Linked DNA regions of Ovis aries. The protein of the gene in region 1 purifies or fractionates together with the protein of each later gene. This does not show direct contact. Links are inferred from orthologs where the notes say so. Each region holds a gene or a part of one and is shown on either strand. Other genes may lie near its edges.

Region 1 (3,752 bases):
GTACAGCTATCCTCACTACTAGCCTGGTTCTAAAATTTACCCCCCCCCCCAAAAAAAAACCTTATGTAAAAGTCTTAACAAAAGATATGTAATGAAATAAAATCGGAGTAAGACTGCATTATAAAATAAATGACTTAAAACTTATTTTCGTACTTAAAAGAACTATGTGACCACTCCAAATGATTAGTATTTTGAGAAAGTATTCCAAAAGTTCTACAAACATGTGAAATACAATATGGCTACAACAGCAAAGATTAGACAAATCCGAACCCAATGCCAGAAACCAAGCCTCCAGCTTCCCGGATTGAAAGGCTGTCCGCCCCACCTGAGGCAGTTAGATTCCCCGAAACAGAGGCCGGTATATCAGCAGAAGTTAGGCCTCCTCCTCCCTCAGGGAAGTGCATGACAAACAGGGCTTCATGCAATTTATGTCACCCGGTCACTTAACAAAAATCATATCTAACTTCTAAACGTGGGCCCTGACGGCCTTCTATATTTATGAGGAAGAGAGAGCAGCGAAAGTGTTGGTATAGAAACTTCAAATGCCCCACTTTCTGACCCTGTAAAACATTTAGCCCATCATTCGATCTGAGTCCTAGATTCTCAGCCTTGCCTAATGGAGGTTTCCCTCAACCTTTTCGGAATCTCTGTTTTGCAACAGTGAAGGAACTTTTCCTGCTTTATCTCAGTTCCCTGAGAGCATGCGGCCTTGCAATTCAATATCCTAAACTGGCAGGGAACGGTGGAGGAGGGAAGGGGAGGAATCCGGAGTCAAAACAGCCTCCTTATGAAAGACCAAAAAAAAAAAATCATAATGCCTCCTCCGCCCATAGCAAAACCCATCCCAGAAATTTACAGCGTGTTAAGAAAAGCAGCACTGCGAACTGCAAACGTAAGAGTTTTCCTTTGACTCTACGCACGGTTTTCAGCTGTCAAATTACAACTCAGGAAAACACTATCATTAGAATAAAAAAAGGAAACAAAAAAGCTCGCACCACAGGGACTGGGAAACAGGAGCTGCCAGCACCGTTTCCAGAGAAAACAGAGCAAAGGGAACCCAATCCACTTCCCTCCCCGCCCCCCACCCTCGCCTAAATTCATCCCCTCCCCGGACCGGCAAACCTCACTGCAGGGGCTCAAATTTAATAATAATAACAATAATCATGGCGCTTCCTCCCTCCCGCCACCCCACCCGCGATCTGCAGGGAATCAGCTTCTCCCACCCAGGTCCCCCGACCCCACCCCGCCCCGCCTCCCCTTCCCCCAGGAGCCCCAGGCCCCCGCCGGTCCGACCACCCCACCGGACACAGCTCCCGGGAGCCCGGGCGAACCCAGCCTACCCCGGGGCCCCTCGCCCGGCTCCTCCGCTTCCCTCTTTTTTTTTTTTTTCAGCCTCCACCATCCCCCATCCGCATTGTCTGTCTCAATTCAACTTTGACTAATATGGATTCCTCGGGCCTGGCCCGGGCGGTGATGAAGCTCCCCGCACCGGGAGCTGGATACCCACCCGCCGCCCCCACCGAGTTGAACGCGGCTCCTCCGTGGAGGCGGGGGGACCAGGGGGCGTTAGAGGGTGCAGTGCTCTTCCCCGTCCACAGCTCGCTTCCCCCCACACCCCCCCGACCCCGCGGCCCCGGTCCTTGGGACCAGAAGTTTGCCCCGGAAGGGGCCTAGCCGGGGGGCAGTGAGGACCCCCGCCCTCCCCACCGGCCGCCGGTCCGGCGCGGCCCCGTGGGGGAGGGGAGGGCGGGGAGGCGCCCCTCCCCCCGCCGCCCGCCGGCCGGCCCGCCCGCCGGCCCTATTACCTGTCATTGAGCTGGTCCTCGGTGCCCGGCAGCGGGTGAACCACGAAATGGATGGACGTCATGGTGCTTCCTTCTCGTCGTCCTCTCGAGGACGGCCCCCTCCCGCTCGGCTCCCCCCACCCCCGAACCCCTTCCCCTCGTCAAAACCCACAGCCACAGCCGCCGCCGCCTCCCGGTCCCCAAATGAGAGAAGCAAATGCGCAGGGGCCGCCGCCGCCGCCGCCGCCGCCTCCCTGCCGGGCGTGTGTCCGAGGCGCGGCGGTCCGGCGGGGCGGGCAGGAGGGCGGATCAACACGCCACCCCGCTCCCTCAGCGACAGGGCGCAGGAGTGCGAGGCCGGCGGCCGGGACCCGGGGCGCGCCGCCGCTGCCGCCGCCACCGGCAGCCGGACGTCGGGAGAGAGGGGCCCGACTGAGGAGGGGAGGGGGACGGGCTGCGGGCTGTGGGGCCGGTGTGTGGTCCCGGCGGCGGACGGGGTCCGGACTAGGGAGGTGGGGAGGGAAATGAGCCCGCTCGGCGCGTCACTGGCGAGAAGAAGCCGCCGCCGCCACCACCAGCACCGCCGCCGCCATCTTCACTTCTGCCCCAGTTTCTCCGTCTCGCAGGCTCCGCTCCCGAGCGGAGGGGGAGGGGCGAACGGGAGGAGGAGGAGGAGGGAGGAGACCGGCGGGCGTGGGGCACGGCCGCGAGGGGGCGGGGCTCCGGGAAACGGGCGGCGAGGCCCTGCCGATTGGGCGGCTCAGCCACGGCGCTGTAAGGCGCGCGCCGATTGGGCCGTTCGGCTCCCGAGCCCGGCCCCCCCCCGGGGGGGTGGGCTCGCTCCCGAGTGAGTGTTCCGGAGAGCACGTGTTCGGGACAGATGAGGCGGAGGGGCGAGCCGGCTGGGGCGGGGAGTCCGGGAGAGAGGCTAAGTGTGTGTCCCCGGCGCGGTGGTGGTGGGAGGGAACAGGGGCTCCTCCAGTCTCGCGCTCTGATTTCTCTTGGGGCAGCCCTAATTATTTTGCGGACCCTTAGGGGTTTTCTGTTGTTGTTTCTCGTCCTTCACATCCGCAGTTATATTTAAAGTGGAAGTGTAGAAATCTGTTAAGGGGCAAGAAACGGACAGCGTTTTATTGGAGAAGTAAGGTAGTTATGTAAGGGCCTTTCCAGAAGGTCCAATCGTAGGATTATAGAGCTGACTTTGCAGCAACTTCTTTTTATCACCCTGATTTCCCCAATCCCACCCCCCACCCCCACGCAACCGCCACCATCACGTATCCACACAAAGACAAAATGTGGAAATTTCCACCGATTTCCTGATTTAAATGACTCATGAATTTTTAATTCTTTTAAATGAAAGATGAAATATCAGTTTCATCGAAGATGTTTCGTTCTTCAGCTTATGATCAGTGGGATCATAAGGGCTAATTCTTAAATAGATCTGCCTTTTTCTAGGGAACCAGTTAATAGATTTTTTTCTCAAAGGCTTCTCTGGCCCCTTCAAAAAAATCAAGTACTTCTTTCAAGAAAAAAAAAGTGAAAACACGAAGCCTCTTTCTCCAGTATGTTCCGTTAAATTAAGGGTCCTGTGAAACGTTCTTAATTTTAAATATCACTTTTCTTCTGTTACTGCATTACACATACGCACTTGCTTAGAAGTTCTTTTGAACAAAATATATGACTATTTATAAATCAGGATAGAGTAGGTACCCCTTGAGACAGATAATGGAACACTTTTGTAGGTCACCAGCTCCAAAATGGCCCAGATTAGACTAAAAAGTGATTTCAAAGCCTCTATTAGAAATTCGTGGGGGCCACAGGGAAGCAGAGGAAACCAATGGACACTGTTAGTTTTGGAGCCAGACGGACTTGAATTTGTGCCGTTTCTAATAATTATTAATTGTGTGGACTTGATTATATCATTTAACCTATCATAGCATCTTTTTTTCCTCATTTGTGAAATATTCC
Region 2 (3,652 bases), on another chromosome or scaffold:
AGCACATCTAGTATGAAAAATTCAATATATTCAATTTTAGAATTTACCTCTAAGCCATAAATCCTCACTAAGAGATTCTGCAAAACCACTTGCACCAAGGTCACCAATGAGCGTGTTGCAGTTCAGAGTGATGCGCCTCAAACCAGCCATGCAGTCAAGATCAGGTCTCCTGTAACGAAGACTCTCAGCCCAGGTTTCTTCATGCCTTCTGATGGTCTGATACTTCACAGATTGAATGGGATGAAAGTAAGTCACTTGAATGAAGAAACAGCGTATGCCTACTGAGTATAGCTTATTATGTCAGAGATTTATACACATGCACGTGCCAAGCACATATGACAGGAGAAATTAAACAGTCAATTCTGCTTTAGGGATCCAGTGACCCAGACTCAAGTCTGTCAGTGATCAGACTCTAGCCACTGGATGACTGTTTTTCATTAGCTATATAAAGTTTGACAATTCATTTACAGTCTATGAATTTTATTTCCCTTATCTGCCAACCCAGGGAATTAGTTCTAAATTGCGTCATTGCTGAGGCTCTAAATTATATCATTCTGTCCTCCAGTAGTCTCCAAACATTTGACTGGGCACCCTCTAAGAAAAAATTTTAACATGCATCTTATTTGTTAACAAGTTACATACATGAAGTTCTATACATATAGTTTGTGTACACTGTAAACGACACAGATTTTTTAAATGATACAAAAGTAAACGGGGTCTAATATCTTCTTCTAACTTCTAAGGTATTACTTTAAAAACTATATTTACAAAATGGATCTTACATACTGCTTTAGGTATACACACCAACTTTAAAGGCCTGGACTATGCAAAGTCAGTTTGATGTGCCTTGATGGGCCGAGAATTTGACATTTAACCACTAGCATTATCTTAAAGACATTCAGTTCTTTATATTCATAAAATACATTTTGTTAACAAGGAACATTGACTTTAAAGGAAAAAATCTTATTACATTCTTGAACAAGACTCAAAGTTCCTCTGATACTCTAAAAGAAAAATCATTAGTGTCATTTTTCTATTAACAATAACTACACAGTACTTATTATGTGCCAGGCACTATTTATCCAAATGAGTTCATTTAAACTTCATAACAAAGCACAGAGGTTAAGCAATTTGCCCATGGTCATCAGCTATGAAACTGGGAGAGATGAAATCTGAACCTAGGACATTTGGCTTCAGCACACAAGCTCACCACCATTTTCTATCCCCGGGATCAATGGATTTGCCCTGTATAGGTGCAAAGCATTTTTTAATTTTTATAATTTCAATTAAAAAACTTTCAGCTTTGTGGGCCATACAGTTTCTGTGGCAACTACTTATCACCATGGGTGTAAGGTGAAAGCAGCCTTAGTTACCATGCAAACAATGGGTGTGGCTATGTTCCAAAAAGCTTTCTTTACAAAATCAAGGGATGGGCTGGATTTGGCCCCCCAGCCATAGTTTACCTATCCTTGATCTGTACCATCAAAGTATTAAAAAGGCTTCATGTCAAATTATTCAAAAATTTTAGGCCTAACCATTATAAAGTTGTTAAGGCAGTATTTTTAAAACTACATTTAGAGAGCTCTGAAGTAGTAATTTTTATTAGTTTATAGACTATAGCAGCTAATAAGTACTTCATTTATTTAAGTCTTGAAGACTATAATGACAGTTTCTTCACAGTATTACAGTAAATGTTTTCAATAACTAAAAAGACATAAAAGTATTTAAATATTATTATGTAGTATATATTAAATATCTTATTTCTAAGATTAAGTGGACTATCTTTACTAAATGAAGAATCTCAAACTGAAAACTGGTCATATTCTTTCAACAAAACTAAAGCTGCACTCACATGTATCAAAAGACAAAAATCACTGCCATTTGTACCAAGAAATTAATGTGCTACAATCACATATGTTTTCATGAAAGTTTAAACATAAAATCACCTTTAAGATCTTGGCCATGTGATCTGCTCCCTGCCATGTCAGATTACACCCCGTGAAGTTTATTGTCTTAAGAGTGACAGAGTTCTTTATACCTTGACAAACAACTAAAAGAAAAAAAAACAAAAACAAAAGAAAACCACACACACAATAAGATGAAGAGCCTATATATTGGTCAGACTTGACTTATTTGCTTTTCTTGAGTCAACTGGAGGTTTACAGCGAGATTCTTAAAATCACTGTCGCCAATCTTCCCCAATAGCTGTATTCTACAATAAGTCAGCGATGAAGTGCTACAGTGTTCCAGTTTACAGCAATAGTTTAATTCTACTTAAATACTAAAACTGAATACACTGAATACTGCAAACTTTATTCCTAACCACTCAGTTAAGTATTATATACCTTTTAACACACATGAGAAAAAGAGAAAAACCTAAAAAGCATAAGCCTCTTACTTCTATTTCCAATGATATATCCCAATTTTCAATCAACAATTTAAATGTCAGCTATGAACTCAGAATCTTATTAGATACTATGCAATATAATACCGTAATATAAGACAGACAATCTCAAACTCTGTTCCCTGAAATTGAAATGCAGCCCACCTTAGCCCTCCAGGCCAGTACTGGGCACAGTGAACACCCACGAATGCTTCAGGACCCCAACAGTCACCTTCTTTGTGATTACCTCCATGATACACCCCTGCCAACACTACTGAGCTTGCTCACCTTTTAAATGCTCTTACAGTACTTTGAATATATCTCCTACTTTAACACATTCCTCAGTGCATTATAATTATTACTGAAGATAGATGTCCTAACAATTTAAAGGTACAGATATTTTGTTGCTCTTGACATCTTGCTATTTCCCTTCCCACAATATTTCTTAAAAAGAAACCACAAAAATATAAACACACACAAAAAACAGAAAATACAAAATGTGTGGTTTGGGGCTTAACGCAAACTGAAGTAAAATCAGTGCTCAGAGTATCCAGCATGACAGACTTCCATGGTACAAATGAGAACGGACCACGGTATGAGCAGGTACGGGAAACAATCCAGGCGGGGACAGCACCAAGAAAAGGTAGACAGGAATCAACATGGTGTGCAGTGAATCACAAGACCAGTCTGATGGGAAGAAACTCAAGACTGACACTCACTTTCTAAACCTCCATCTCCAATCGGACAATTCGCAAGAGACAGGTGCACCAGAGTGGCCGATTTATTCAATCCCTTTAATGAGGAAAAAAAGTTCAAAATTTTATTGGTTTAGTTTTCCCCCAAAGCAACAATCAAATGTTGGCAGGACTCATGGAAGGCTTACCTTTGTCAACATCGTTAAGTCTCTCTCTCTCAGAACTAGCCCGTTTAGCTCCAGGTTCCTTAGCGCACCTGATGCACTTAAACAGCATTTAAGAGCTTTACACAACTGGAAGGTCACATCTTTATTTCTTATCGCAGGCACACGACTTCTGTAAACTTTATTTCTGTCAGAAGCTAAAGCAAAATTATTGTAAAATGAGTGACTTCAACCATACATTTTATCATCATTAAAAAGCATCCACTCTGGGCTAAGCATTAGAAAAGACTCCTGCCCTTTAAACCCTCTTTAAGTGTGGACATATGTAAACTCAAAACTTCAATCACATGAGATAAGGAAACATAATCTATGTGTACAGAGGTTCCTAAGGAAGCAAAAACTTATATCTA

Evidence for each region.
Region 2: the proteins of UBR5 (region 1) and CEP78 purify together in Homo sapiens (affinity purification with western blotting; 3 studies listed by BioGRID, with this or other methods). This does not show direct contact. The link is inferred for Ovis aries from reciprocal best matches to the Homo sapiens genes UBR5 and CEP78.

The regions. Positions count from the first base shown.
Region 1 is NC_056062.1:74,932,460-74,936,211, reverse strand, and holds the start of UBR5 (E3 ubiquitin-protein ligase UBR5), read right to left. Parts: upstream 2,388-3,752; 5' UTR 1,868-2,387; coding exon 1,806-1,867; intron 1-1,805. UniProt on the Homo sapiens protein: E3 ubiquitin-protein ligase involved in different protein quality control pathways in the cytoplasm and nucleus. Mainly acts as a ubiquitin chain elongator that extends pre-ubiquitinated substrates.
Region 2 is NC_056055.1:58,675,897-58,679,548, forward strand, and holds part of CEP78 (centrosomal protein of 78 kDa), read right to left. Parts: intron 3,440-3,652; coding exon 3,267-3,439; intron 3,176-3,266; coding exon 3,103-3,175; intron 2,051-3,102; coding exon 1,947-2,050; intron 223-1,946; coding exon 48-222; intron 1-47. UniProt on the Homo sapiens protein: Centriole wall protein that localizes to mature centrioles and regulates centriole and cilia biogenesis. Involved in centrosome duplication: required for efficient PLK4 centrosomal localization and PLK4-induced overduplication of centrioles.